2 linked regions of the Rhinolophus ferrumequinum genome follow. Each later gene encodes a partner of the first gene's protein in a complex. Links are inferred from orthologs where the notes say so. Each region holds a gene or a part of one and is shown in the gene's direction. Other genes may lie near its edges. The genes, in order: CAPZA2 and S100A1.

Region 1 (16,455 bases):
AAAAGATTCAGGCATGGGGGATACCAAGAACAGTGGAGGGCGAAGATATCATGCCAAAACTAGGAATTAAAGGAATATACGGATGGTAAATGCTGAGACATCCAGCCTTCTTGCTCTACTTGGCTTCTAAAATACTATTAGCTAGGCCTTTCCTCTTCTGGCAAGAGATTAATAGAGTCTGCTCTAAGGAGTCTGACCAAAATAAGATGAAAATCATAAAATGGCCCGATCAGATATTCCTAAAGTAAAACTCAACTGGTTAGTCAAACACTTATAAACATGAGCTGATAACAAATAATAGAAAAAACTCAGCAGTCAAGTGAGGGCTGTTACTTGAAAAGTAGGACAAAAAAAGTAGGACAAAAAAGAAGACATGTAAATATGGGAAATAAAAGATTAAAAGTAAAAAAAATAAAGGAGCGATCCAGGAGGAGTGAACACACAAATACCTGGAGTTACAGAAAGAAAGTACAGAGGGAGGGGAAAAATGAAAATCATCAATGAAATCATTTAAGAAACTTTCTCAGAACTAAAGGAAATGATTTACCAGACTGAAATGGCCCACAGGGCCCAATAAAATAGGTGAAAATAAGCCCACAAAAGTAACTTTACTGTGACATTTCAGAACACTGAGAACAAAGAGAAAGTCACATACAAAAAAAAAAAATCTAAGACAGTGGAACAAAGCCTTCAAAATTCTAAGTGAAAATTAATTCCAGTCTCTAATTCTATACACATCCAAACTATCAATTCAAGCATGAGGGTCAAATAGATGTTTTCAAAATGTACAGTTGCAAAATTTTACTTCTTAGACACCTTTTCTCAGGAAGCTTCTGGACAATATATTTTACAAATACAAGAGCAAATCAAAAAAAGAGGAAGTCGTTGGATGCAGAAAATAGGAGATCTGACACAAAATAGGAGATCTCAGATTCAACACAGAATGCAAAAGCAATCTCCAGAAGAATGAGAAAGGATGAAATGAAATCTATGGACCTGGTAAAGAGGGGAATGTGTCCAGATTGGAGCATAGTGTGCATCGAGAAATAGGACATTTTGAGGGTCATCAAGATAAAAAGCCTACTGCCCTTATACGGTCTTTGTAATCTGAGGGCGAAGCACCTGGCTCAGATCTGTGTCTATACTTGGCTTGTTCTGACCATGTATGGATGAAATCCCTGCTTTCTCCTCCATGCCCAGGGGGCAGCGACCATCTGCTTCAACCATCTGAAAACATTCATCTCACTGCACAGAAGTATGCTGCTTCAGCCTAATTCTGAGAGTGGGAAGTTGGCCATGAGAACCTAGGATGAGAACACACAAAGAAGCCCACCTCCTCCTTAACTCTTTCCTGCCAGATGTCTCAAAGCCAGCCCACATTCTAACACCAACTGTGGTGGCCCGGTATTCCTCGGGACTCACTCGTTTTCCTCTGATAGAGCACTTGTAAATTCACAGAAATGCTGAAGCCAGACTATAACCCAGAGGCAGTTGAGTTAATCTCCGGAAGCTTTCATTATCAGTGGCAGTACTGTCGTGACCTTACACAGTGAAATATATGCTGTAGTGCCAAGGTTCTTGATCACCTCGCGTGTTCATTTACGTGTGAACTGTTGTTGCTAAAATAATAAAATATTTTATTGAAAAAATAAGCAGTATAAAATGATACATACTGAATTTGTGATAGTGTTTACCTTTAGGGAGGGAAGGATAGACAGAAGAGAACGGAAGGAGAGAGGAAGACACAGGGAACCTCAACTGTATATGTAACACTGTATTCACAATCACGTCTAAAGCAAATATGTCACAATGCCAGTTAGTGTTTGATAAAGTTTGGCTGGGAATATGTAGATGTTTCTATATTAATCTCTATTCTTATCTGCATATTTCAAGCATTTTACCGTAAAATGAGATTTATTTAAAAAATTGAATTGAAGGGAGGCTAGAAAAGAGGCTTAAATGTCACTTCCTAAAATTGATCCCCTTTTATAATGAGTCTGTGATTCTATTCTGTTTTCAAGCTAACAAGTTAGCCTGTCAGTTTCATGGATGTTGGCAGAAAACACAAGATGCCTGGCGAAGAGACAAAGGACTTGATTACTCCTGACACAGCAAGCTACAAAAGCATCAGCACATTTGCATTCGTTTCTCTTATCCCCATCTCATACGGCAGCACAGATGGATCCAGATGGAAACCTGCACGTGAAATGGGCTGTATTATGAGTGGAACCTTGAGTTTAAGAAACCAGAAGCTTTTATAATGGGCGGTAAACATGCCTACGCTTTGCTCTGGAGAGAGGCACTATCTGCCAAGGCTGTTTGCTAGGCAAACTCTCTTCAAAAAAATAGTCCAGAACAAAGGGTAGTCAGCTTGCAATACGTGTAGAAATGTGAAAGACTCGTTGAGAATTATCTCCTAACCTGTACACTCAAATCATGCTACACATTTTGTCATTACACTTCTCACAATTGTAATTACATTGTTATTTGAGTGCTTATTTGTTTACTGCATGTTTCTAATCTAAATAATAAGCTCTATGAAGGCAGGGACCCTGACTGTTTTGTTAATTGCTACATCTTAAATGATACGTAGAGAGCTAAAGCATAACAGAAGCACAACAAATGTTTTTGCAGAACTGCTCATGGATTATCAGACTTGAGTACATTAAAGACACAACCAGAAGAAATATGAATGAGGTTACTGATGTCACAAAATATGATTTCCTTTAAAGATACTGTTTTGCATTCATCCAGCATTTTTTATTTTAGAAAGCACCTTTCATATGTTACTTTATGCAAGCTTCACAATAAATCTTTGAATTAGACAAAAAGGTTAAGAGATCATTGGACTTTTTAAGTGAAAAAAAACAGGCTTGTGTATTCTAAATCGACACTCTTATGTTTCAGAAGGCTTTTTTTATCCACACAATTGCAAGATAGGATAATGTCAAAACAAACTGAAGGAAATATCTTTGTAATGTTTCACTTAAATAAAAAGTTAAACATTCGTGGAAATATTTGATATATTCATTACAGTCATCACAGTGAAGATGAATGAATAGAATTCAATGGCACTGCTTTTATATAAAGTGTTACACACTTTATACATTTATGCATCATTTTATCCTCCCAAAACACATAGGTAAATATTACCATTGTTCCCCTTTTAATGGACGATGAAATTGAGGCTTGGAATGATTACACTAATTAGCAGAAACCATACAATTAATTCTCCCAAAAGGTAAAATCCAGAAATGTTAAACCGAAGATGTCTTCTTACAAAAGGAAATTACTTTCCCCAGATGTAGACATCCCTTTCCTCAATGCCATTCAAAACAGTCCGTTATAATATGTCCTGCATTAATCTCTTACTTTGTCCTACTATGCTAAAATTATGAAATTAGGAAACTGTTTCCTAAAATAATCCAATTCATCTAAAAAGCGGTTAGTATATGAACTCAAAGAAGCCATCACATGTACACTTATCTTTAGAATCTAGATTTTCTTTGGAAGTATTAAGATTAAAAATAAAAAAATAATTTAACATTGTAATATGCTTTAAATTCACACTTCAGTCATGAGATAGGCAGCATAGCAGGTTAAGGAATACATAAGAGGAATACAATTTTAAAATCTATTTCTTCGTTTCATCCATTGTTTCAATATGATTTACATCTGTTAAAATAAAAAAGAAGTGGAAAGCAAACTTGAAAATTCCCTGAGCAGACAAAATCAGTTAAGTCATACAAACAAAGCTCAATTTAGCTTATTTTGAAAAGCTAATTTGGCCTGGGTCATTTCTTACTTACTTATTATGCTTCTGGAAATCATAAGCAAAACTTGAAATGTTTCCACAAATTGATATCATTTAAGAAACTTCTAATATTCTAACCAGTCTCTGTGAAGAATAAACAGTCACTGCTTTCTCACTATATGAGCTACTTTATAACAATACAGCCCTGAGCCTCATCCCATATTTGGTTTGAGAGCCCCCTGTTTGCAAACTGTCTTTTTGATGTGTGTACAATAAACTTGTATTAATTACTACTTCAGTAATTCATTGGTTTTACTTCTATTATTTCTGAACTTTTGACACATCCTATCTCATATGTATAGAGAACGCATTTCTCGTTTGTGCCATTTATTTTGTACTTATCATATACTGCTTGGAGGGGTACCTTTTTATGTATTGAATTCTAGCCTTGCACAACCAGAATGTGAGTTACCTTAGGACACAGGTGGTGTCCTGTAGTCTGAAATTCTCTGTCTTCCATGTCTGCTTTGCACAGTGTCAAGTACAATCTGGGTACATCCCTGGCTTTGCTCTCTCTATTCACCTCCACATATAACGACACCTGCCAAATTAGCCCCCACACCATTGCCCTGGCTAGTCCTACTGAAGGAAGAGTAGATTAACGTCCCTCCAAATCAACATTCTGAGGCTTATCCTAAAGGCTCCTTCAACCCTAGCGGGGTTCTCCCAGTTTGATTGCTGGCCCCCTGACCCCCAGTCTGAAGCACCAGAATGCACTCATGTGCAAAACCCACCTTCTGTTCTATGGCTGTTCTCGTGCTCCTACACTGGTAACTTTTCATGCCTCAGTCACTCCCAGAAAAGGGGGAAAAGGCAAGTTGAGATTGGCCTTCTCCCTCTGGGGAAATCTGGAATGTACATTACATCTCAGAGTTGTTCTGACCTGAGGCTAGCTGGCTGAGGTTGTGTACCCCAGCAGCCTTGGTTAAGAGCTATTCCACGGGACCTAAACTCCCAGCTCTGTGCTTGCTGACAAAGCCACCTCAGTAGCCAAGAGCAGTCAGTCCTTCCCCAAATAATTGTAGGTTCTCTGAAGTGGAGGCAAAAAGCCCTGAAGCACAGAAAGGGTCCCAGTGATCCAAGGGATCTGGTCAGAGCATTCACAGTATCTGCTACAGCTCTGTTCATCAGAAGCCGCTCACAGGAGAAAACAGAAGTTGAGTACCCCACCACCCAGGCTGGGACAATGGCCAGGCATTGCCCAGCACCTACATGCAATGGATGGAGCTAAAGTCACAGAAGAAGAAGGTGAGGTGATGTGAGCACTGAGCCATCTGTCCCGTGAAGGGAGCATCAGGAAAGATGTTAAAGCGACAAACCTGGGAGAGGTCTGATGAGAGAGGGAGCAGCAGAGGTGCTGAAAGCCTTTATAAAAGGACAAAAGATGGCAGTGTAAACACGTGCAGGTGAATCACTGTGGCACCCCCAAAGAATCCAGAGGAAGGAATTGGGGCAGGATCTCTTGCAATTCGTTAGATTAGACCTGAGTTAGAGAAACACAATATTATTGTAGGTTGGTATGGCTGGGGAAAACATAAATGACAAACTTCTTTTTCTACTATACTGCTAATACTGAATCCAAATAAGAATTCAAAGTATTACCAGACACTAAGGTTAAAAAAAATTTAAAGATGTTGAATTTATCTTTTCACTCATGTAGGGAGACTTTTTAAAGTGAGAAAATACTCTAATATTCTTTATTCATGTTATTTTCCAGACTTTTTACAAGAAATCATAATAATTCATTCCATAAATACTTTTTGAATGAGGTACCATATTAAATGGATAAAAAAGATGAAAAACAAACAATTTTGTGTTGGGAAAAAATCAATATGGATGGGAATGATTCAGGTTAGTGGTTACCTGTGGGAAGATGGAAAGGGAATGGGAGCTAGAACGGGTAAAGCAAGTTTATTTTGTTTATTTGTTTTTGTTTTGTGTATCTGATATATGATGTAATAATAGTTCAGATAAGTTAATGGAAATACGTAGAAGGTTTAGAATTTCCTTGCCTCACTCTAAAGGCATACACCTTGGGCACTCCCCATGGGCATTCAACACGTCCTATAATTCATTTGGGACATGGCATGACAATGCTGAAGACTTGAACTTACATTTGACAGAAATTAAGGAGCAGGAAATCGATTAGAGAGATATATAAGGGGTGACTGAATGTAGAATAGGAGTATTACTATGATTTGGGTTTTTCTGGGGAAAGTGTTTCTTTTCCTGTTCTGGACACCCAGAGCCACATTTTTAGGGCAATCTCTACACCCCATGTGGGTAGGTGGCTAGCTCAATTTTTCAGCTCCCATTTAGGGACATAAAATGAAAAAGTCATTCAATCAGTCTGCATTCCCACAAAACTTTTGTAAGCACTTATGAGCCAGACTCTGCATTTATCAAACAGCTAATTAAGACATAGCCATGTTGTGAAGGGGCAGACTGGTACGACATTATAATACGACAATAGCTAGTAACATTTATTGAGACTTTTGCTACGGCTGGATGCTAAGTACTTAAAATGTCTCATTAATTCTACACAACAGCCATATGAGGGAGGGATCATTATTATCTCCAGTGCATAGACGAAGAAACCGAGGAGTCCAGAGCAAGTTGTCCAAGTTAACTGGCGCTGGAACCAAGACCAGAATCCAGGACTTCCTGATTATAAAATCTGTACACCTCACCATTTGAGTACACAGCAAAATTCCACGGAAAACTTTCTATGGGAATCTAGAAGAAGAAATTACTAGCTTCAGCTAGAGGACTCAATGCAGATTTCATGGGAAAAGGGATAACTGAAGTGAATTTTAAAGGGTAGGTAGCAAAGAATGTTTCAGATAGGGCTTCATCAGAGGCACGAGAAACTGTGATGCCTGAGTAAGTAGCTTTTTGTGCTTCCATAATGTGTGCATTCAGAGCTGCGGCAGAGCTGGGTTTGTTGAGGTTGGGAAGAATCAAATTATGAAGGACAGCATGTTCAGGAGAGGGGAGGAATTGAAAACAAGCTTCTTCAATAATTCCTTGGTAGCTCTAGAGTGATCCATGTCAGGCTTCCAGGGCTACCATTTGCGTGGACCTTTTCAAATCTAGTTAAGGAAATGGACTACAGGTAGGGCACACTTAACTACAAGTAACCAATAGTTTAGGCAATTATTTGATTTAGAAAGACAACTACTTTTTAAATATACGTGATTGCTGATACTTTTCTACTGCCATAAAGAAGATTACTTGAGACCCGTTATGTTCATTGAACATGAATGTCATGTAGGGAGTCATGCAGGGTCTCTGGTCCCGCTCCCCACATAAGAACGCAGGATATGGTGAGGCCAAAAAGGAACACCCACGGAGCCATAGGTAGGGGAGTCATACCACTATAGTCTCACTGCTGGCTGGGTTGAAGACACAGAAGCAGGAGCCACACTATCCTCAACCTGCCGTCTACTTGTCTCTGCCAACCAACCTCACCTGCTAACTGCAATCCGCCTCTGCCATCTGCAACCCACACTCCGATGTGCTAACTGCAATCCGCGTTTGCCAGCCCCCATCTTCTTGCTAGCCCCCATTTTCTGCTAGCGTAGCCACAGCAGTTATATTAGCGGCCAATGGCTCACTGGTTACAGCTGACGGCCAACTAGCCACAGCTGATGGCCTCCAATCACAGTTGATGGCCATTTACTACTTCTGAGCCAGTACCTTTCCACTGTAGATGTGAGGCCAAGAGCCTGGAAACTGCACTCCTGGCTCTGTCCCCACAATGAAACAGTAACAAACAACAAAATATTCGTTGTCTAACACTGGTAGTTTTCTTCAGAAGTAAGGTAAGTCACAGGTTTAAACTACAGATACTAGTTTTTCAATACAGAGATTAAATAATATGTTATTATTATGAAGTCTACATTTGGTACAACCATTTAGTGGTCAGTCACTAATTTGAATATCATCTCATTGTACATTATATGATTGAGATATATATGTTATATTATATGTATGTGTGTGTATAGTATATCATATAAAGGATAGAACATGAACATGACCATCAGGACATTGGTTCTCAAATAACATCATGTAGATGTGCAATTTTTATCAAGTCATTTAATTTATCTAAAGCTCAACTTATCTGCCAAATGAGACTCTTGCACTAGATTGACTGCAAGATTGTAATTCTATGAAATTAGGTAACCTCTGACCTTGACAAGCTTAAAATATAAGTGAGGACATGTAGCACATCCACAGGAAAGTAGATTTAAAAGCATACAAATAACTTAAAAACTAACACTGCAAAAGGAAAAACTTAAAAAAAATAGGTTCTGGTGCAGTTAAGTAGAAGGTGAGTTTAGAAATTAAATGAGAAAGGAGTAGAAATTCTCACATAATAGGGAGAATTGTGTATGGGAGGAATATTTTGCTTCTTTTGGTTATGAAATAACTGTATATCAAGAATACCTGGGCAGCGGGTTGATTCAGTGGTTGGTACACAGTGCTCATAACAGGAAGGTCGCAGGTTCAATTCCCACATGGGCCAGTGAGCTTCGCCCTCCACAACTAGATTGAAAACAACGGCTTGACATGGAGCTGATGGGTCCTGGAAAAACACACTGTTCCCCAATTTAAAAAAGAATACCAGTACCACATTTCTACTTGCATTCATGTAATGGTCAGTCCATATTTATACCTATTTTGCATGGTGCCTTAGAAATCTTCCCAGAATTCCTAGTTTTACATGATTTCAGTTATTCCTTGCAACTATATCAAGAGGGTGGTATTGGGACTGACCAAGGGTGGTATTGGGAGAGTGGTTTTGGGACTTTTTTGAAAGGATTATCAGAAATTTTACCTAATTGCTGATTGTGTCACATGGGAAACCACATGTAAAGTATCACTAAGGCTACGATTACAAACATAGTCTGATTCAAATTATTGCAAAACATTACCAGATTTGAGTGCTGTTTTTAAAGGAAGAGGGCAGCCAATTAATCACGCAACAACAGTTTCTGAGTACCCTCTGTATACAAATTATTGATATTAGGTGTTGCTGAGTAAACGGAAACCAAAAAGCAGAAGGAGAAGAAAAAAGGAAGTACTGTTGATGCCGTATGTGATGGTGAATAGAATCGGTGGGATGGGAGATAAGTGCTTTCATTAAGTTTTATTTGATGGAGAGCACCTGGAATTTAGAGAGAAAAAAGATCTCAAAAGGGAAAGAACATGGGATCTAGAATAAGATGCCTGGGTTCCAATCCTAACTCAGGCACTTTGGTGCCGTGCAAAATTGGATAAATATTGAACCTTAGTTTTGTCTCCTGTAAAATGGGTATAATAATGCTGATTAAATACCTTACTTCATAACTTACTTGCAGTGAGAAATCAATGAAGCAATGATTTGTAAACTGTAAAAGAATAAAAATGCTGTTGATTTACATCCAGTGAGGTCCTTGACCAAACTGTGTGGTTCATTCTCCGCACCATTTATCCTCAATAGAACACCCGCTTTTTTCTGCATGTTTCAGCAAGCTTCCCATTAGTTCTCTCCCTAAATGGACTATCTTTTCAACAGCATGGTTTCTGTTCACTTTCCATCCACAAGAAACAATGATTTGCACATTATGAACCCTTAGTAAATTACTTATTAATAGCGTTTTGCATGTGAACTCTCTAAGGTATTCTCTTGTGTCATTTATATGTAGCTGTCAGATTCATCTTTCTAGACATATTTCTGATGATGTTATATCACTGTGCAAAAGTTGTCAACTTTCTACTGAATAAAGTCTTTTTAATACATATTTTTATCGACAAAGAACATTGCATTCGTTTTAGGTATAGAACATAATGGCTAGTCTTAACTCCTGTCTAAACTCTAAGGTCTTGCTGCTCAGGATGGTGTCCAGGCCAACAGCATTGGCATTACCTGGGAGCTTGTTAGGAATGCAGATTCTCCAGCCCACCTTCCACCCGCTGCCTCAGCAAGTGCATCTTAACAAGATTCCTAGCCAGTTAAGCTTTGACTACATCATCACTTTCTTGCTAAACTTTAAGCTTCAGAAGTAGGGTTGCCAGATTTAGCAAAGAAAAATACTGATGCCCAATAAAATTTGAAAACATTTTTTTAATATATCTCAAATGCTTCATGGGACATATTTATACTTAAAATATATATTCATTGTTTATCTGAAATTCAAATTTTACTGGGTTTTCTGTATTTTATCTGGCAACCCGATTCTCAAGAGTAGGATCCATGTCTAAAACATAACTTTGTATTCCTCTGCAATAGTACGGTGCCTTCCCTAACTGTTCAGAGTAGGTTTGAAAACAGGTTTCTCTGGTTTTTGCTTAACATTGTGCAAGTGTATATGCATAGAGACTAATACAGTACCCGACACACCATAAAGGACCAATAAATGTTTCTTGAATGAATGAATGAATGAATATATCAAGAGCAATCTTTCAATTATGGACTGGGTTGTCTGCATATTTTAAGGAAAGCTAAGTGTTTTTCTAGCAATTTTTTTTAAAAAACAAAATGTTTAAAAAGCTTCTATTCGTACACTTTTCACATTTTAGCTGGCAGAGTTCAGGCCTTAATGGGAACATAATCAAGGGCTCAGGATGTACTTGTTGCAGACTGGGTCCATATGGTCACTGGTGGGAAAGAATCCCACACCCAGCACGCTGACAAGCTTGCAGCAGGCGGCGGTTGGCGACTCCTCCCTCTCCCGAGCCCCTCGAGGCTCTGCGCACGCGCCCCGCACTCCGGCCCCGCGGGCCGGGGAAAGGAGGCGGGGCTCCCTGGGCGCGTGCGCGGTGGGCTGGGCTCCTGGCCCCTCCCTGGCTGGGGCGCGCGCGGCGCGGAGGACCGCACAGAAAGGGGGAAGTCAGGTGGCTGCCGCCGCCGCCGCGGTTTGTCGCCAGAAGGAAAATGGCGGATTTGGAGGAGCAGTTGTCTGATGAGGAGAAGGTAAGAGCTGCGGGGGCGGCGGAGCCGGTCGGCCCGGGAGCCAGCGGGGCCCTGGTGTATAAGCCCGGAGGCTGGCCGCCGGCGAAGGGCATTGGTCTGTGCCCTCGGCTGCCTTTGCCCCCCTCTCCTCGCTGCGCCCAAGTGCCTGCCCCTGTCAGTCACCCGAGGCCCGCGCGGGGGCAGGTCTCCGCCTGGCCTGCTCGCTCCACTCCTTGTAGGGTGTGTGCTCTGAAAATAGGAAGCGGGAGCCGGGCGGCGGCGCCTGGCGCGACGGCCGGGCAGGCGGGCGGGGTCGCGCGGGGCAGCGGCGCGGGGACCCTCGCCCTGGGCCTGGGCAGCGGCCCCTGCGCCAGGTTGGGGGCTGTAAAGGGGTCTGCGGGCCGGCCTGCGAGCTTCCCAAGGGCACTGCCCAGCCTGACGGCCTGGCTGAATAGTGTAGCCGGGGTGAAGGGTAAGAGGCAAAAATCGCTTAGGAAGCAGACCTCGAGTTCTCCCTTCTAATCCCTCCGCCCAGTAGCAAAATGCTTCCCTTCCTGGTTCGCGACGCTTTTTTTCCTTTCCCGGTGGCAGTCTGCCTCTCTCTGATTTTTTTTCCTTTTCTTATTTCGTCTTTAGCTGTAGGCTTTGCAGCTTCCGTATTCCCTAGGAGGCCGGGGAGTTGCTCACCAGAAGACCCCTCCCCAGTAGTTTCCTGCCCAGGCTGGCAGCAGCCCTCGGGGGCTGGTTTGGTGGCGCCTCTGCGTCCTGCTAGGAATTCTGTCGAAGAGGGGAGATTGTGCAACTCCTTTTACTGTATCTTAAATGATGCGGCAGCCTTGGAACCAGATGAACGACTTAAGTTCTCAGGCATTTAACATAAGAAATCTGATCATTGAACTAGTTCTCTCTTATTTGCCGTTTCCTTTGGCGACTGTGAGGCCCCGTTCCCCAGTGAGGTGGGGTGGGGACCCTACTGATTTTGAGTATTTCCTGGAAAGGACCTTGAGGTTTCTCAAATTCAGAAGTAACTGACATAAATAAGATGGTTGTTGCAGTTTTTGAAGTGTCCACTCTTAATTTAACATTGTGGTTTTTTTTAAGTTCCAAAGCAGTACAGCCATGTAGGAAACACAGACGTGGTGTTTTAAGAAATCCTAATCCAAGCCTAAGGATACTTTTCAGTTCGAACTCTTCACTCCAAGTGTTTTTACATCCTGTGTTCTAACACGGAAATGTAATGTTCCATCTCCTTATGTCGGTGCTGAGGTCAGCCTCATCTTTACTGTTGGAAATCTTTTTTCTCTGTGCTTTTTGGTGAAAGTTATAATAAAACAACAAAATGAGGACCGCAACAAGATTCTCCATAACCCAGGGACCCGGTAGGCAGAGAGGTCCCTGTATACACAAAGTTGCTGTGCAGTTTTCACATGTGTATCATTGGTAAATCACTATATGTTGATAACTGAAAATGTATGCTCTTGTACACACACACACATTTAAAATTAAGTAGTGCTGAAAAGTTTGTTAAAAAGATTGTCATGTTTTTATTCCACCGTTCTTAAGTGGTTGGATGTAGCTCAAGTCGCTAGAAATCGCGATGAAGAGAGTACCCAGTGTGGAAGCTAATACAGACCAGCCAGGTGTTGGGAAGGCCTAAAATAGTGATGAGGTGACAACACTCCGTATTACCCCACACTCTCTGTGCCACACTCTCTGTGCGCTAAGCTCCATACAGGGGGGGGGGTGTCTAATTCTCTAAGCTTGCCCAGCGCAATGTTCTAAGAGGAAATGAATGAAAATTCTAATTTGAAGGAATTCGTTTTTGTTTTTGTTTTGAGTTTTGTAACACTATTCTATAGATATTTTGCATATAGATTTCATAGCTATATTTACTAATCTAAGAAAAATACTGACTAAACTTTTGAGTTAAATTCTAATATTGTCACTTTAGAAATATTCTTGTAATCTTTTGGGAGGAAGATGTTTGGTATGGAATCAGAGGATTTAAAGGTGATATTTTTAAGCTAATATTTAAATTGTGTTGCTCTTTCTGCCACATTGTAATTTTCAAAAATACGCTTTTAAGACTTTTAAGCTCTTGGAATTTCCATTATTGATTGCAGATGTAAGGAAATGAATCTGTTAATATTTATGTAGTACCATACTTTGCATGTATCTGGCTCAGTTAGACAATACGTTCATTTTTATAAATTTGTTAATTTGAGGTAGGTTATATTACCATTTCACAGATGAGTAAAATAAGGTTTCAGATTCACCCAAGGATACCTAAGTAGGAAGTTGCAAAGGTGATATTTAAACCTGAGTTTGTCTGAATCCAAAGTTGTTGCTCTTGTGACATTTTGCTCCTTTAAACGACCAATACGACCTCTTCTGGGTTAATCTGTTTTTAATTTGTTGACAGCTTATTTCGAAAAAGGACAAACTATGGTTCTTTCTGTTTTTAATTAAAAAATTGTAAATACTAAACATCAAATAGTGTTGTGTTCTAAATTTGTGTTTTGGTTTTAGAACAAAGTTTATTATTGTTCAATACATTTAAAAATATACTACTGGTATAGTTTCACATATGCCCTATGGTAGGAAGCATTTTAGAAATTAATCTAGAATTATGTCTTTGCTTTTTTAAGTCATATGCAATTGTTTTTTGAGGATATCACTATGAATTTAATAATCTTTTTACCTTTGGCCACTGGGTTAATAAGAATTAAGTTATCCGAAGAAGAACAATGATGTTCTTTAAGTTACTCTTATGCTGTAGTGTGTCCCACAGACTTTTACAGAGAAACTGGGCCAAAAAACAATCACGTTTTCCATTCCTGGGTTAGCTGTATCTTACAGTAAAGCATTTTTGTGAATTTGAAATTATATGATATTGTGGCATAAGGCTGGAGAAGAACCACTCCCAAACCCCTCTCTAGGGGAGAAAAATCTAGGAAGTCACTCCAAGCTCCAGAAGAAGACAATTGTTGGTTAGAAGGGATCTTTTTTTTTTTTCTGTAAATCCTCCCACCTTCCCCCCGGTGATTAAAGTAATCCATCCCATAGCCTCGGCTGTTATCTTTGTTGGTGTGTCTCAAGTACATAGTTCAGCCCTAACTTCTTTCCTGAGCACTGGTCACACATTTTTTTCTGCTAGTCCTGTCACAATGAGGTATCTTCAAATGGAACTTGCCTAAAACTAAATTCATAAATTCCCCTCTCCTTCCCTCTACACAAAGAGGGGCAGAAATCTATCTCCTCCAGCTCATCTTTCTCTTTATATCTGTTCCCATTGTTCCAGTCATCCAAGTTTTTAACTTCAGCTTTATTCTAACTTTTTTTTCCTTGTGCTCTGTACCTTGCAGATTCTAAACCTTGTCACTTCCATCATCAAAATGTATCTTATGCAAATAATTTATTTCTTGCTTGAAAAGTTAATTCGTTTATATTAATAATTGGTTTCTTACCTCTCAGTTAACACAACTATTAACTGTTATTTGTATTATTAACTACTGTTGTTTAGTAATAAAATTTTACTGTACGAACAGTTTTGTTGAGGAAGAAATAAAGACAAGGCCTCGAGGAAAAGTAGGGTTAGAAGATTTTCTCATATCTAGTCTTTCCCTTCTGTTATTTTTGCCACCGCTAGGCTTTTATTATAGACTTTCTAGACTCATCCTTCTAATTTCCTGTATCTAAGCCATGTTTTAATATGTTTTTCTGTTCTCAAACTTTTAGTTGCTGGATCCTCCATTGCCTTTACAATGAAGCCCAACTCCTGAAAATGGTGTTCATGGCCTTATATTCCATTATAACCTAAATAGTTCCAGCATTTCCAGTATATACTGTTATTTATTTAATCATGCTGTGAATTCAGAGACTTGCTTGTTAGTCCATGTCTAGCACCTCGGGTAAATTATTTAATTTCTCAGCCTTAGTTTCCTATGATATACTGGGGATATAACAGGAAGTATCTTCTCCATTGAGTTGCTATAAGTATAAATGGTGCCTGGCATGTAGTAAACACACAGTAAGTGGTAGTTATTTTACTCTGCTCATGACTTAACCACTTTGACTGTTGATACTGCTCCTGGTCTGTCCCCTTTTTTGAAAGATGAAAGTCATGCTCATCTCAAGGGTTAGCTCAGATCGCATGGCTAGTTTAATCTCTTCTGAATGCTATAACATAGTACTGGTATTAAATACAGTTTTCAATAATAGTTACTTGTCATTTCCCCCCATTCAGTTGGGGTTCCTAAGTGCAGAAATAATGTCTATAGCATCTGTCATGCTGCACATGATGGGTAGAATGGTTCAGTGAAAGAATGAACAAGGAATCATGAATTCAGAAAATTACAGAGAAAACATTAGAGTTTTATGAAAAGTAGAAGTAGCATATAAAGCCAAATTTTGCAGGATAAATTTGTTGTGCCTAAATTTTTTAATTTCTAAATAGCGCTATAGATTTTAAAGATTCAAACAGTCAGATGGAACTCCTGGTGCTCTCTGGGTTACAGGTGATGATACTGGATATGGTGCAAATCATGTCCACATGCTGAATATTCTTTATAGCCGTTTATACGCTTTTCCCTCACTACACAACCATAATTTGGCTTCAGCAATTTTGATTGTATGTAAAAACAATGTAGGCTGTTATTTTCCATCATAATTAATGTAAACTCAGTAGTGTTCTTATTAACCAAAAAGTAAACTCAAACAGTGAGCTATAAATGTAGAAAATGTTCATTCCTAGTTATATTCTGTAGGTGAATGAATTCCATCATTGCACCAATAAAGTGTAAAAATTCCTACAGCAAGCAGAAACTTGATAGCTGCTATAACATTAGTGGGGATTTCAGACTTTGCACATTAAAGCGAATTTGTGGTGTTTTCAGTGCATTTGGGAGCCATTTCTGCGTAAAATAAGGACAGCTATACACATAAAGCATTGCATTTTAGTGTAATAACACAGGATATAAGAACACTTAGAGCAGAGTACAAAGTGATTTTTAGGTGAAAAGCATGATGGGAAAAATTGACTTAAAGTTTTGTGCTCTGACCCAAAAGCCTAATTGCCTGAAGCAGTAATTTATTGTAAGAGATTCATGCATGTCAAAGAAAATAGGGGCTCCATAGAAACACCTACAGTTGTCAAAAAAGGAGAATTTCACAAGTTTTATTTTAAGATTGGATGTACAATTTCTACATTCTTTCACTTACTGCATTTATTTACATGTTCCATTATGAATCTAATGGTTGCGAACTTCTTGGATATTTTAGTTCTATTTAGTTTCTGTTGACAATGAATGGAAATAATGTTTGAAAACTGTGTCCACATTCATTTATTTATCAATATACCATATTTCATTGATTTCAATGCTCATAATTTCCCATCGTTTAAGATCTTTGACATCAGACTGCATTATACAATCAGTGGCTTATGATATTTCATTGGTACCAGTTTTCCTTTTTTCAGGGTTACCTAAAATTATGCATCTTACGTTGATTATGAATCAGGGTAAGCAAACATATAATGCATTAAAAAACAACCTAAAATCTTAGCATGAGAGTGGTGGGGGCTTTGTAGGACATCTCGTCACTCATTCCGTATATGTCTAGTGTGGGCCAGCAGCAGAAGTCATGTAGTTTCAGGCTGTTGGAGGACTTCAGTCTGAACTTAGCCCGTTTTCTACAGCCCCCATAG
Region 2 (15,686 bases), on another chromosome or scaffold:
GAAAGGAAAAATACTGTATTAAAATTGTAATACTCGATATATCTTGATAACAAAAGATGAATACAAGTCATGCGTATATATTTTTTTGGCACCCCTGGTATATGTGGTCTTTTGGAATTTCCTAAGTGTTGAGAGTGATGATGAAGATATCTTTTGTTATGCTATTGAGGCAAGCTCTCCATATTGGAAATTGGCTCCCAGACCACTTATTTAAAAAAAAAAAAAAAAAAAAAACCTTGAAGAAATAAGAAAACATACTTTGTTTTTTCAGAGAGAGAGAAAGGCTCAAGAGTGTAAAGATGTCAATTTTCCCTAAAATAAATTTGCATGATCCCAATTAACAATCTACAGGATTCTTTTTAACATGATTAAATGTTACTAACATTCTTTGTGAAAAATTAACATGTGAAATCCACCAGTGAAATTCTGAAAAGTAAGAATAATGAGAAAGAAACAACCCTACAAGTATTAAAGCATATTATGAAACAATGGTAAATGAGGTTGTTACTAAATAAACAATAAACAGATGAATGAAACAGAATAAAGAGACCCAAAATACACATGGGAATTGAATAAATACTCAAGGTGGTATTTCACATCAGTAGGAAAATTTTAACAATGAAATCAATTCTGGGTTTCTTTGGTTTTGTTTTTTTTAATATGTTAAATTGAGCAAGACCTTTCTAAGCATGGCATAAAACACAGAAGCCATTCAGGAAAAGTTTGGTAATTTGACTACATAAAATTTTTTTATATTCTGTGTGGTAAAAACTACCAAAAAACAAAGTCAAAGGACAAAGGCAAATTAGGGGAAAATATTTGCAACACACATAATAGACAAAAGCTAATTTCTTTATTCTATAAAGAGCTATAATAAATCAATATGAAAAAGAAAAACTCTTTGATAAAAGAAATAAACAAGCAGTTCACAGAGAAAGCAATATACATGTCCATCAAAAATATTTTTTAGGGCAGCCAGTTGGCTCAGTTGGTTAGACCACTGTGCTCATAACACCAAGGTCGCTGGTTCGATTCCCACATGGGCCACTGTGAGCTGCACCCTTCACAACTAGATTGAAAATAACTTGATTTGGAGCTGATGGGTCCTGGAAAAACACACTGTTCCCCAATATTCCCCAATAAATAAATAAATAAATATATATATATATATATATATATATATATATATATATGCTCTATTTCACTAAGAACTAGCATAACTCAGAAAAAGTATCATTTTAACATATTAGATTGGCAAGAATTAAAAGCTTGATAAGACCCAGTTTGGGCAAGGACGTGGGAAAACAGATATTCACATGCACTGTTGGTGGCCATAAAATGTGGTACAACCCTGTTGGGAGGCAAATTAGTAACATTTATAAAATTAAAAATATACACGCCTTTTGAGGCAGTATTTCATCTCTCAGGCATTTAACCTATGTAGATAGCTTCCCTCAAGTTTGTAAAGATATGTAAACAAGGATGTTTGCAAAAGGGGGAAAATGGGCATAAGAGAAAACTCCGTCAATAGAGGGTAGGCTACATAAATGTGTGTTAACCTATCTTGGAATACAGTGCTTCATTTTTTTTTTTTAATGGGAAAATATCCTATATGCTCTGTAAGGGGGAGCAGAGTCGGCCACCTCAAAATGTGCCTTTTTAGGGATATTGATTATTTTAAGCTGGTTATTTTTAAGAAACAAAAGACCGAGGAAAAACCTTTGACTATTCCCCTACATGCCTCAAAGATTTTAGATGGAGGTCCTGCTCCAGGAAGGGAGCTGTCATCATAGATAACTATAGTTTAATATGAATTAGTGTGTGGTAGACAGGGAGGAACCAAGCAAGGCCCATTGGGTAAAATTCCTCTGTGTCCCATGGTTAGAGATGGCCCAGCAAACATTTATTTACCAAACATTTACTTTTCTAGCTCCATGTTAACTGCTTTCCTTCCCACTGAAGTCCCAAACTGCAACCCCCACTTTCTCTTCAGCTCAAGATGGCACCTGAGCTTTACTGCCCGATTTGTCCTTGGGCCCCATAATCTTATGGAACCCCCCGTATGTACATACGTAACTAAATCTGGTCATTTTTCTCCTGTTAATCTGTCTCATGTCAATGTGATTATTAGAACAACCAAAAGAACTAAGAGAGGGAAATGGGAAATTTTCCCCTCCCAACAACTGTTACATTTTTAAAAAACTATTTATAGAACAGTAGGCAAAATGCATTTATTTATTCATTCTCTCACTCAACAATTTATGCTTTTCTTAAAACTTTTTTACTCTCTCACTCACTCTTCAATATTTTATTGAGCACCTATTAGGAGTCAGACACTGCTCTAAGTAGAGGTAAAAGAGTGATCAGACTCCTTTCCTCACAGGAGTTACATTCTTGGTAACATATACGTATATAGTGGAGGTCAAGTTGTGATTGAGGTGTTCTGAAAGAAAATAAAGTAAGGTAAAGGAATAGAGCACAGGGAGGTGATATTTGTATTCAGTAGTGAAGGCCATGCAAAGGATTTGCCATTTGAGCAAAAAGTTGAGTTACATGAGGAATAAGCCTAGCAAATACCTAGACGAGGGGCAGGGGTGAGCATTCTGGACCCGGAGAGGAAAAGTGGAGACAGTCAGTATAAATAACTCCTATGCTTTTGAGAAGTTTTGCTACAAAAGGGAAGCAGAGATATAAGGCATAGCTGGAGGGAGTTACAGGGTCAAGGGAGTTTTTCTTTTTTTTTCTTTTCTTTTTCTCCTTGTTTTTTTTTTTAAAGATGGGAGATATTACAGCATATTTGGAAACTGACCAGAACAATCCAGTACAAAGGGAAATTTTGATGATGCAAGAGAGGGGGGAAGAACTAAAAGGGTTAAAGTCTTTAAGTAGGTGAGAAGGGATGAGATCCAGGGCACCAGTGAAGGGTATGGCCTTGGGAGCAGACAGGGATGAAAGGCAGGGTATGTGTTGGTGGATCTGGGTGAAGGAGCACATAGAAGCTTCCTGATTACTCTTACTTCCTTCTCAGTGAGAGGGATGTGGAAAGAGGTACTAGAGTTTGAGGAGAAAGGAAAAGTTGTGAAATAATCATCTGAAAGAGCTGGTAAATGAATCGACCAGGGAAATGTAGAATTGGCAGACATCGCTGAGGGGTTTGTGATTATAGATTTAAAGTGCGACAAATGAACACGGCGGTGCCTTATTCTCCAGCCAGATTCAGCTCTAGAAGTGGAGGTACAGAATGGTGCATTCAACCAACAAGTTACTGGAGGTGAAATGTTGGCTTTAAGCTGGGTTGGGATTGTGCCAAAAGACAAGGACAGAAAGAAACAGAATCAAGGGAGTTGTGGGAGTGGTTATAATGAATGATGAGCCTTAGAACCCAGGTAAGTAAGAGGTGAAATGAGAACACAAGACATAAAGATAGAAGATGGAAAAAATAATAGGGAGTCAAGAAAATGCTGGAGTGGAGGAGCTAGAAACAGGTGAGGGAAGCAGAGTTGGCACCCCAAAATATGCCTTTTGGGATGGATATTGAGTACTCTAAGCTGGTTATTTTCAAGAAACGAGACTCAGGAAAAACCTTTGGCCTTCCCTCTACCTGCCTAGAAGAATTTAGACAGAGGACCTGCTTCAGGAAGGGAGCTGTCATCACAGATAACCATAGCTTAATATGAACTAGTGTGTGATAGCGAAAAAATGAGCAAGGCCCATTGGGTAAAAGTCCCCTCTGTGTCCCATGTGAAAGCTGGCCCAGCAGACATTCATTTGCTCTTCCATCTCTGTGGGAACGGCCTTCCTGCCCTTTTAGGTTCCAAACCACTCCCACCACCTTCGCCTTAGCTCCAGAATGGTATGTAAGCCTCAACCGCCCAGTGTCCTTGGGACCCATCTTCTTATGGAACCCCTGTGTGTACATACTTAATAAGTGTGGGTATTTTCTCCTGTCAATCCGTCTCTCGTCAATTTGATTATTATTCCAGCCTGAACTTAGAAAGGTAGGAGGAAAATTCATTTTTACCTTTTCACTCCCCTACAGAGGAACAGAACTGGAATGACATGGAAGACAGAGAAAAGGAAGTTAGAAATTGAGATCTTGGAAGAGGTGCGTTATTTTGGTAATACCAAGATCTGAAGCATGAGCAGAGGAGTGGAATCCTGAGATGCAGGGCGACAATCTTTGGAAGTGATGAGCTCAAGAAATTGAAAGGCCCAGGTGTTGGCTGAGCTGTCTCTGTGGAATGCTGAGGATAATGACAGCAGCAGTGATGAGAAGGAAAACAGTTAGCCAGGAACTGAAGAGCTATAAGGAAGGCAGGTGGTACCTGAGCTTCCAAGGAGCTGGGCATCTTAGGAAGAAGAAAAAAACTAAGATCCGGAAGCAGCACTGAAACGCAGAGGTCACTTCCTGCATTTCAACACACAGAGGAAGATAAACCAGCCACTATATTTTAATATTACTATTAGTTTCAGGTGTACAAAACAATGAAATAGTTAGACATTTGCACCCCTTACAAAGTGATAACCCCCCAATTTACTATCTGTCTGCCATCGTATACAGCTGTTACAATTCCATCGACTATTCCCTCTGCTGTACCCCACATCCCGTGACTATACATACATATATATGTTTAATTATAGTTGACATTCAATATTATTCAAAACCAGTCACTATTTGGCAAGGCTACTGGGAGTGCTGTACCTCCAGGAGAGAGCCTGGCGTTTCCTGTGAGGAGAGGATGGGAAAAGTCAGGGAAGCCTAAGGAGGAGGGGATTTTGCTGATGAAAGACTATGAGTTTCAAAAAAAAAAAAAAAAACTGTGAGTTTCAGAGACACTTGTTTTTTGTTTTTAAACCCATCTTCACACACTTTTATGTGCCTGTGAATTTTCAGGAAGGATGTAAAAGAAACTGTTAGCCGCCTGGGATGATGCCCAACCCAAAGTGGATAAAATTTAAATCCCTACTCCGTCCCCTGAGGAGAGACGGGGGGACCCAGCCAGGCGCATTGAGGGGATTCCCAGAGAGGGTGGGAAGTAACCACGGATCACTTACAGGTCCCTCCCACCCTGAGATCCTGACTCCATAAATGTGGCTCTGTTTTTATTTTTAACAAATCCCTTCCCACAGCGGGGCCTCAGTTTCCTTATGTGTGAAATGAGGAATGTGGATATGTTTTCTCTCGGCCTCCGTCTAGCTCTGACGGTCCGGGAAGCCAGCTCTGGGTCCAGTCCTCTGTGAGGCAAATGAGATCAGAGAGGCACAGCGCAGACACAGGAACCCTGCAGCATTATCTGATGCAGCACAAAGCCCCATAACACTTCCCCTCACACGGACACTGTTACCGAGACGCACACACACACACTTGGCAAGAACGCCCAGAACCACTTACACATGCAGCCACCCACACCTTTCTCCACAACACATCTGTGGTCACATTATCGTGCCCAGCAATATCACGTCACGTACACAATGTCCCACAGCCACTGTCTCCTAAAATCTCGGGCCCAGAGGCCCCCACCTACCTTGAGCAGGTGAGGCAACTGTTGAGTGGCCAGTTCCTTAAACTCATTGATGCTGAGGCTGCCTTTACGGCCCTCCCGTCCTGCAAAGGTGAAGAAGGTGGTGACCACTGTCTCGATGGCCGTCTCCAGCTCAGTCAGTGGCTCTGCTGCCATTAGGGTGGAGCTGATGTCCTCACGGGCTGACTGGTGGGAGGGAGAGGGGAGGAGAGAAAGGGAGACTCAGGACAGGCCAGAGTGCCCCTGCCCTGGGTTGCTATCTCTGGCTTCTGCCTGGAGAAGGCAGAGGCTTTATGGAGAAGGAACAAGCGGACAGGGATGAAGCTTGGGGCAGGGAGTACCTCAGTGCAGGTGACGGAAGGAGTGTTCATTCCAGAAACCCCTTCCTCTCTAGATCTCACAATCTAGGGGTCCTTTTGAAATGCCTATGTCTTAGGGACCCCTCTGTGATGGTCCCTCAGTCTGGAGACCCCTCTGTCCGGGAGGAGGTTTTCAATCTGAGGGTCCCGTTAGGAAGCCTCTCAGTCTCCTGGCCCCTCTGTAGGGTTCAGCCACAGGGCCCTTGCTTGGAATCTCACCGAGCCTCAAAAGGTCAGGAGGTTGTTTGTCTCCAAAGCTTGTTTGTGTGGGGACCTGGGTCTCCACCCGCCTGCTCCTCCCAGGAGAGCAGCCCTGGTCTGGCAAAGGCCCAGCCGTGGTCAAGGCTGGCTCTGTCTGACAGATCCAGCCTCCCGGTGGTCCTTCTCCGCTTCCCTCCCCGCAGGGCCGGTGCTGAGCCCAGGATCCTGCAGACCTCCCGCCCCTGTCTCCCCGAGCCAGGGGTCCTGGTTGGGCCTTGCTGACAGCCGGCACTCGGCACCCAGAAAGGGCTTGGTCCCGGCACACACAGCCCCAGGGGACAGGCTGGAGGAAAGGGACATGCCAACTCATCCTCCGTTTTCTGCCTCCCCCCACCACACCCCCACCTTACTCCCCCGGGGACTGCGGTCTGATCTCCCCAAGCTACTTTCTGAATCCCAGTCTGAGCTGGCTCCAGGGGCGGGACCTGGGAGTCCAGGGAGGAAAAGGGCTCCCCGGGTTCCCCCCAGAATTAGGGGGACACGACTCACCAGGGGAAGTCACAGAGACGGGGTGCAACACGAGGTTGCCGCGGGGCTGAGGTTTATAAGCGCTGGGCGGAGAGGCCAGGGCCCCTCCCAAGCTCGGAGGTTTCAAGTTTCCTGGTTGATTGTGGAGGGAGGAGACGTCCAATCACGCCTGGCGCCCCCCTCCCGCCCAGCTCCCAGCGCCCAGAAACCCGCCTGGGACCCCAGCCCCTCAGCCCAGCCCACAGGTGCCCCCACTTGGTCGGGAGGTGAGGGTGGGGATCTGCCTGAAGCTGCCAGATTCCACTCAGCCAGGGCCGAGGGTCCTATCCCCCCCAATATGGGGAGCCTCTGCCCCACCACACCCCAACATGTAATCAGGAGTGTGTATGTTGGGAGCGGGGGTGGGGGAGCGGGGGTGGGGGGGAGGGGGGCCCTGCGGGAGGTGACTGCAGATTGATTGAAAGAACCAACTGCAGGAGCTCACTCAGGACTGAGAAGCCCAAGCTAAGAAACACCACATCGCTGAACGAGATCTCTCAAAGGACCCTGAAGCCCAAGACCCCTTCAGAGGATCCCAAACCAAGACCCCGCAAATACGGGAATCAGACCGAGACCCCTGTTGACATAGAAATTTCCAAACCTGTAGAGCATTTTTATGAGTTTAACTGAACCAAACTGATGACAATCACCTGGAGGAGGCAAAATCTCAACGGATTGAGAAAATGTTCCCGAGAATGGCTTTTTTGCAGCTGATTTCATACATTAGAATCCAAGGAGGAGACGGAGGGGGTTACATGGAATCCATGGGCAGTAGATTAGGGAGCCGGGAGAAGGCAAAGGGGGCGGGGACCTCTGGGATTGGATAAAAAGTAAAAGGGAGAGACACACAGTTCTTTCACATTGTGGGTGCAGGATAGTTAGTAACATTTACAGCACATGGAGATGGCATGTGTGTGTGTGTGTGGGAAGGACAAGGTAACAGTGAAGGGTTCTATGGTCTGTGCTCTCTGTAGGAGGTTGTGCCCTGGGGGTATGGAAAAGGAGATTACTCTGACATTTTAAAGTAATGTCAGTAACTATGTTATCTTAGATACAAAAAGGAAATAGTCAGGCTCCCTTAAGGTAAAGATTAACCTCTATCAAGAAAGCTACAGGCCTAGGATGGGACTACCTGCCATGACAAGCTTTTAGTTAGGAATTTTGATGTTCCGACCATCCTGTGTGGTTACTCCCTGTCTCTGAGTTTGTACAGCCTGCCATGCAGCCTCCCCTGAGCGTGTCGGGTTCAGTCTGTGGCCCCTTTTTTATCTACCTCCCCATCGAGGGTACCCTGGATTGAAATCCCTCAGTGGGGTCTCACACTGAAACTTCGGAGGGTGACTCCCAAGATCGAATTATTCACGGAGAGCTCCCAGCGGCCTCCAGCCCTCCCTGCCTAGCTGGCCACAACCGGGTACTGCGGGGGTAAGGGGTGTCTCAGTGCCCTTCCCAGGACCTTTCCCACCTCCCTTCCTCCAGGGCCTGCCTGTTGGGGCCCAGCAGTAGGGGGGAGGCAACCGAGGCTGGAGAAGAGGACACAGGGCAGCTTGTTCCAGCCCAGGAGACAGAGGGCGCCTCTGTCCACTCCTGGCCCCTTGCCCCACTGGGTGTCTATCTGTGAAGGGGTGGAGCCAGTGGGGAGGGGGGTCAGCGGGGGAAGGACGGCTGAAGACAGGTCTCCACACACAGCTCTGGGAGCCACATTTGCAGCCTCGTCTGTCTGTCCAGAACCTGCTCCCACCTCAGGCCCAGGCTGACAGTGAGTATGCCACCCCATCCTGCCCTGGCCAGCCTGGGGGAAAAGGGACTTCAGCGGGGCTCCAAGAATCTGGGGACGATGGCATTGTGGTATACTGAGGGTTGGGATGAGTTCGAGTGACAGCAGTATGGGATTTGGGGGAGACAGGGTTTAGAAAGTGGTGAGGGGAGACAAGTGAAGGTCAAAGAGAGATCTAGAAACTCAGAGAATGAGGAAGCCAATGAGGAGCCCAGCCACCAAGCTTCCAGATCAGGCTCTCCTACCACGAAGCCCTCCAGTGCCCTCTCAAGCCTCCCTCAATCTCCCAGGAGCTGGGGAGGGGTCCCAGCGCTTGGCTCACTTCCGGTGGGATAAGCTGGAGAGGACAAATGGAGCAGCTGCTCTGCCTCCCCCACCCAGCCTTGCCAAGAGCTCAGGGCCCAGGGACGTCTGGTAGAGCATGGGCCATGTGACATCAGGAAGAGGGGCACTCGGGTGTGGTACCCACTCCCAACTCTCCCTTTCTCCTCCTCCCCTTTCTTGGCCCAGACCTCCAGACTCCTCTTTTCCTCTTTCTTTCCTCTTTGTTTTCCCACCCGCCCCCTCCCTGCCGAGGTCCTCTCAGGATTGCCCCCACATGAAATGCTTGGCTGCTGGCGAGCTCCAGGCAACCCCCAGGTGCCCGTCCTGGATGGGGCCGGTAACTGAGCCACCAGGCCCCTCCCTCTCAGGCCCCTTATCCCCTCCATCAGCCCCGGCTTGGGTTCCATCTCCCCCATGTCTCTGTGACAACCACGTCTCATGTCCGGAGTTCAGGTGACACTCACAAGGGCCCCATTGAAGAGCTGGGATGTCATCTGATCAGGGCCCATTGTCCAGCCCCTCAGGCCTAGGGAAGGATGGGGACACCTGATCTAAGACACCTGAGCTGCCCCCTGAGGCCGTGGTCGGGCTGAATGTCCCAAGACAGAGAGAAAGAGGCCCCCTGGCTTGGCAGTCCCCTCTCCTCAACAGACCCCTCCATTTTTCTCCCCCTGTCTCCCAGCCCCTTGAACTCAGAGGACCTAATGCACTCGGCCCTTTATCTCCCCCAATACATACCAACCCCGTTCTCCCTGCTGCCACTGTCCCCACTCCAACCAGACTGGGCCTGGAGGGTGGGAGTAGCTACTAGCAGTGACAAGTCCTCATGGGTCTCCTCTTCCCCTCCCTAGAAGCTCTGGCTCCAGGGAAAAGTCTCAGACATTCCTGTCCCTTCCCACCACCACCCCATGGAAGGGCTAACTCTGTGGAAAAGTAAGAGGAACCAAGCTAGAGACATACCCCCGGGAAGTGCCATGCTCAGGAGAGAACAGAGTTGAGGGACCAAAAGATGCCCCATCTGCTGACAGGAAGCTCAGAGGCAATGAGACTTCCTTCCCACGACCCTTGGGCCGCCCACTCAGGCTGCCACCCTCTCCATCAGGCTGACCAAGGGCACCAGACTGACTCCTTGCCAGGAGTGGGCAACAGAGTCAAGTCTGTAGACAGGAGCCCAGCCCACCACCTCCAACCGCAGAGCTTGGCTATGCTAGGCAGGCAAGGTTCAGGGTAAAAATAGAGCCAGAGGAAGCCTGGCTGGGTCCTGTGACCACCCCTGCCTGCCTGCCTGCCTGCCACACCCTCGTCAGTATCTGTGCAGCCAGCCAGGAGACACTGCAGGGTCCACGCAGGCCTCTAGAGCCAGCCCTGCTCCAGCTGTTCCCCCTCCATGCCCCAAACTCTGACTCCCTCTGGCGGGGGTTTGGATGGAGGGACACACAGAACAGGTCTGGACTTAGATCTGTTTGGGTTCCCCTACATTTTAGGGTCCCACTGAGAGGTACATTGTGATGGAGCTCCAATCTCATGGCTATTTGGGCTGTGGGACCAGGACCAGGCCTGAGGGCTCCCTTCACCCCAACCCCAGATATCCTGAGCATGGTCCCCTGCTCACTTCCATGGTGGGGGGTGCATAGGTGAGCTTCGAGATGGGGTCTGAGCTGGAGACGGCGATGGAAACTCTCATCAACGTGTTCCACACCCACTCGGGCAAGGAAGGGGACAAGTATAAGCTGAGCAAGAAGGAGCTGAAAGAGCTGCTGCAGACGGAGCTCTCCGGCTTCCTGGATGTGAGTACAGGGTGGGGGGATTGGGTGGAGCGGGCAAGGGCTGGGGGGCACCGGGGGCCCCTCCCTGCCCTTTCCCCAGCTCACCCCAGCTCAGCCCAACCATCTCCTTCCCGTCCCAGGCTTCTCTCCTGGGTTTTTCCAGGCTCCCCTACTCCTGGTTCAAGCCAAAATGCCCCGAGTTAGTGATCATCTGTCAAGGACCAGGACCTGCGTAGATACAGCCATAACAAGGCTCACAGTCTGGAAAGGGAAGATTGACCCTTGAAAGTAAATTTTGGACACCAGGAAGCACACAGAGCCTTAACAGAGGTGCCAGGAAGGATTCTGGGAGAACATTAACCTGACTGAAGTGGGATGGCTTCTCCACAGAGGCGACACTTGAGCCATAGGTTTCCAATGGAAGATGCTTAGGATGAAAGTAGACATTTTGGGTGGAGGCGTTTGCGTGAATAAAAGCACGGCAGAAAGAAGAGTATGGAGCACACTCAGTAGTTTCGACTGCAGGGAAGGATGCAGAAAAACAGGCTGAAGGAGAAGCCTTCAGCTTCTGAGGTTTTATTAGACCTGGGCTCAAGCTTGGGCGCAGCCACGCTCACTCTAGCTGTGTGACTTTGGACACATTATTTAACCACCAACTGTCTCTTTGTTTCTTCTCTAGAACGGGAATAATGCAACCTACTTCATGCTATTTGTGTTAGAATTAAACGAGACAGTGCTTATAAAGCTCCTAGTGTAGCGCTTGTCCATTGTAGGCGCTCAACATATGATAAATGGGTGTTTCTAACTCTGCCTCGTTGAGGGGCTTACTGTATAGGCAGCAGGAGGCCGCAGTGTTTGTCAGTTTCGAGGAAGGCAGCAGAAGAGTCCCCTAATTAGATGTAGCACTCCCTCTTGCTCAGCTCTGCCTCCTGCTCCCCAATCAATCACCCCCCCCTTGGCTCTAACTGGGCGCCATCCATCTCCATACACCTCCCCGTCCATCTCCCTTCACAGGCCCAGAAGGATGCAGATGCGGTGGATAAGGTGATGAAGGAGCTGGATGAGAACGGAGACGGGGAGGTCGACTTCCAGGAGTACGTGGTGCTGGTGGCTGCCCTCACGGTGGCCTGTAACAACTTCTTCTGGGAGAACAGCTGAGCAGACAGCCCCAGTGGGCAGCGCCCTTCCCCTCTACCCTGCCACCCCTGCCCGTGTACTCTGCTTCCCCCTCACCCCGCGCCCCGCTCCCCACAGTCCCACCCTTGCCTACCCTCCAACAAGGGCGCAAGAGTCGTGGGCCAGGCCTGCAACTCTTTCATTAAAGGCTCCTCTCTCGCCAGTCTGTTGTCCTTCCTTTGGGCTCCGGAACGGGGGTGTGATCCCTCCCCATCTGCCTTATTCGGGGTTGGCTCTTATTTGGAGAGAGGTCAAAGGACCATTACATCTTCCTACTGGAGGAATATTCAAGGCCCGGGAAGGCAGGGGTTCAAGATACCAGCTGCAAGTGCAGGAGACATTAGCTCCGCAGCTGCAAAGCCAGACAAAGAATTTCCCTTCAACCTTCAAAGCCTATTTCGAGGATCTGCCATGTGCCAGATATGGAGTAGGCACCGGGGATACAACGGTGAACAAACCAAACAGACCCTTGTCCTCACGTCCCGTGAGGACGCCAGACCATTAAACACGCGCACATACTGGAGGGGAAACGAAAGAACCCTGATGGGGGCGCACGGGGTGGAGGAAGGGCTGATGATGTATTCGTTCATTCATTCTTCAGCCATTTTCGCCTTTTATTGTGTACGCAAGCATTAGAAAAGTCCCATGTATGTCTTCATCAACATCCACATGGATGGCAGAGGGGGAGGGACAACGTGGGAGGGGCAACAGGCACGCAAAGGTTGTCACCAAATAAGGCTTTAACAAGTCCCAGGTAGAACATTTTGGACGGTCTGCCTTAGACTGGGGGTCGGGCAGGCGCGCGAGGAAACACGAGCATGTGTTGCCTCCGCACCGAACGCGCTCGGAGCGGCCCTCAAGGTTACCGGCAACCGCGTCTGGAACGTAAAGCCCCGCAGGACCCCACTGCGCGGCCGTTGGCCACGCCCCTTCGTGGGCAGAGCACCGCGGGCTCTGGAAGGGGCGACGGCTAAAGCCCCGCCTTCTCCCTAAGGCTCCTCCCCGACCCCCGCGCAGGCGTAACCCAAATCTCCCCGCCCACTAGCTGTGCGTGGGCCTGTCGCCTGACGTAATTGCGTCGACGCCATTTTAGCCGGGCCCACTCCGCACTGGGCGTGGCGGCCATTTTGTTTGGACTCGGAGCGGGAGTTGGCGGCAGCGGCTTGCGGTGGCACAGCCGGAAGGCAGGGCAGGGCAGGCCGGGCGCGCAGGCGGACCACCGAGCAGACAGCCGGCCGACAATAACGAACTAACCTAGCAACCTACCGCTTACGCATCTAACCAACCGCCCACCAAGCGAACCCGAGCCCCTCCGCCGTCAACTCAGGTTCGGCCGGCCCCCGGCCCGCCTGCCGCAGCCGTGGTGGCAGCCCCGGGAGGAGCACTGGCGTCCTTTTCCTGCGGTACGTCGCTGCGGTGAGAAGGAGGGGAAGGTCTCGGGGAGCGGAGCGGAGCGGAAGGGGCCGGCGGACGCGAACCGGGTGGGAGGTGGGAGCAGGTGGGGTGCTGGCGTGGGGAGGCCCCGGGGAGGGGGCGGAGCCGCGGGGAGGCACGCGGGGGCGGGCCTGAGCTGGAACCTCGTGGCGGGATCGCTGGAAAAGAAAGGTTGGGGTTTGGTAGCGCTGAGAAGCAAAACGGTTTGGCCGGTTGAGCAAAGTTGGCCGTCTTGCCAGGGCTTTGAGCTGGTGGGGAGAGGAAAAAAGGAGAAACGCAGGACTTGGGGGATCGTGGGAAAGGAGCGGCGGCTTCAGGGTTAAATCTTGTAGCGCGCTCTCTGGGAGCTAAGTCCCGGGTGAATGCCCAATTAGGAAACCTTCCCTGCGCCCTCTGGCAGGTCCCCAGCCCCTTGCTAAGGCCCCTACTTGATTTTGATATTAGGTATGCCCGTTATCGTTTCTCTAGATCAATGGTTCCCGATTTTGGCTGCACAGGAGAAGCACGTAGGTAGCCTTTTTTTTTCCGCTTCCAATTTGTGACCCACAGACCTCACCACTAGAGATTGTGGTTCAATTGGTTTGGGCCCAGGATTCTAAATGTTTCTAAAAGCTCCTTGCAGCCAAGGTTGAGAAGGACCACGCGAGATGAAGAGCCAAACTCTTCCACTTCCTTTAGCTAGGTCTGCCATTTTGGAGGCTTTGGCTGATACTTGCTGTCCTGTGGAGTCTTTGAGGGTGGTGGTTTGAGGTCGTTTACAAATTTAAGCCCCTGGAAGGCGTTGGAGTGTGCTCTTAAATAGCTGTTGATACAGGCCTTTTTCAGGCGCTGTTGCTTTGGGCCTTTGGCCTTTGCAGAAGTGAGGTCGTTGGTATTGCGATGTGCTCATTCTGCCTATTGTCCTTTGTAGATTACCGGGATTTGAAGATGGCTGCACCGTCAGCGCCGAAAGTTGTGCTAAAAAGCACCACCAAGATGTCTCTAAATGAGCGGTGAGGCAGCCAACAGCAACTTCAGCTCGTTCATAAGAAAACATTACTTAAATTGGCCCTGGGGTCCAATGCACAAAAGCCGGTTTTTAAACTAAATACCAACAGAAGGCTACAGACCTCTGTTCTTAGTTGCATCTTATGTGGTACACAAAGCAAATTGGGCGGTTGTTTCAAAACCCCTTATCAGTAGATTTTTATATTAAGCTGTCTGAAATATTTGTCTGGTGGGATGTATTTTAAAAAGACTCCTCACACCCTCCCTTTTCTTCACATTTTTAACGTTGACACAGGGATGGTGCAGCTCAGTAGCACGGTACCCAGGCTGCAGCCTGCAGCCAGCTTGCTGCCCCGTCCAAGGCCAGCAGTGTTGTGTCTGGCCTGTAAGAGGCAGGTAGCAAGCCGTGAATATGTCCAAAGGCCCTTGAACGCCATTCTTGGGTCTTGTAAGAGGCACTTGCTTTTGCTCCATTTCACCTTCTTTGCATTCTGCTTTGAGTTTGTTTTGTTTTGGATTCTTTTACAGTTAAGTGTTTTCTCTTCCATGCCATTAAACTTACCCTTACAGGAATAATAGAAGAGTGTCTTCACGAGCTCTTAAACAATTGACCAAATCTAACTTTTCAGAAGTAAACACTTGAAATTAGAAAAAGTAATCGTTTGAGACTAAGAAAATGAAGGTATTAAAAGGCAGCTTCTGTCTCTGAGAGCTTTGTTTGTTGAGTGCCTTTGACCAGTGATGTGTTAAGTTGATATTCGACCACAAAAAGATTTACTTAAATGTTTATGTTTTCCTTTTCTGAAGCATATGTGCTTGGCCTTCTCTCCTGGGGAATGATACACTAATTCTGCACGTTCACATGTTACCGAGTGAACAAACAGGAGAATGTGGTGTGCTCATGCGATTTACGAGCGCCGTATTCCCGTGGGCTTCCGAGGTGCTCCTGGCCTGTGTATTGGCCCTTAAAATGCACCCTCAGGTCTCCCAGGGTTTTGGCTTTCTTCGTTTGTCTTTGAAACTCCATCTTGTGTCTCATGTTGTCATCATATCTGCTTATTGCGTGTTTTTCATACCTTCCACCTCTCCCAGCCGTCACCTGAGCCCTCGTTATCACTTGATTGAATGTGCTGCACTTAGCTGCAGTTCTCAGTTTCTGATTCTTGCAAGTTTGTGGAAGCAGAGGAGTCTTTAACCCACATCAGCCTTGATCTAAGTACCACTTTACTTAAAAGTTCGTGGGATCTGGAGCTCCTGGTCTAGCAAGCCATGAAAATGCCAATAAATGTTTTGTAATAAAGCTTTTATTTAAACATCCATTTTGTTCGACCTTGAAGCTTTACTAATATGCTGAAGAACAAACAGCCGATGCCAGTGAATATTCGGGCTTCGATGCAGCAACAGCAGCAGCTAGCCAGTGCCAGAAACAGAAGACTGGCCCAGCAGATGGAGAATAGACCCTCTGTCCAGGCAGCATTAAAACTTAAGCAGGTGAGAGGATGGGTCATACCACTCCAGAAGCAGCTGGTGATCTCTGGCAGGCAGTTCCCTGAGCCTGTCAGGACCTGATGGA

The links.
Region 2: the proteins of CAPZA2 (region 1) and S100A1 are in contact, whole or in part, in an NMR structure (PDB 2KBM), measured with the Rattus norvegicus proteins. The link is inferred for Rhinolophus ferrumequinum from reciprocal best matches to the Homo sapiens genes CAPZA2 and S100A1. Residues at the interface, in NP_001009180.1 of Rattus norvegicus: Thr267, Lys268, Ile269, Asp270, Trp271, Asn272, Lys273, Ile274, Leu275, Ser276; in NP_001007637.1 of Rattus norvegicus: Ser44, Phe45, Leu46, Asp47, Lys50, Asp51, Ala54, Lys57, Ile58, Glu61, Leu78, Ala81, Leu82, Thr83, Ala85, Cys86.

What each region holds. Positions count from the first base shown.
Region 1 is NC_046309.1:26,070,415-26,086,869, reverse strand, and holds the start of CAPZA2 (F-actin-capping protein subunit alpha-2), read left to right. Parts: upstream 1-10,628; 5' UTR 10,629-10,733; coding exon 10,734-10,772; intron 10,773-16,455. UniProt on the Homo sapiens protein: F-actin-capping proteins bind in a Ca(2+)-independent manner to the fast growing ends of actin filaments (barbed end) thereby blocking the exchange of subunits at these ends.
Region 2 is NC_046305.1:52,553,117-52,568,802, forward strand, and holds S100A1 (protein S100-A1), read left to right. Parts: upstream 1-8,258; 5' UTR 8,259-8,408; intron 8,409-10,373; exon of another isoform or gene 10,374-10,384; 5' UTR 10,385-10,396; coding exon 10,397-10,537; intron 10,538-11,530; coding exon 11,531-11,674; 3' UTR 11,675-11,855; downstream 11,856-15,686. Other genes in the region: S100A13 (protein S100-A13), read right to left, coding at 5,526-5,708, 5,864-5,893; CHTOP (chromatin target of PRMT1 protein), read left to right, coding at 14,054-14,118, 15,451-15,604. UniProt on the Homo sapiens protein: Small calcium binding protein that plays important roles in several biological processes such as Ca(2+) homeostasis, chondrocyte biology and cardiomyocyte regulation.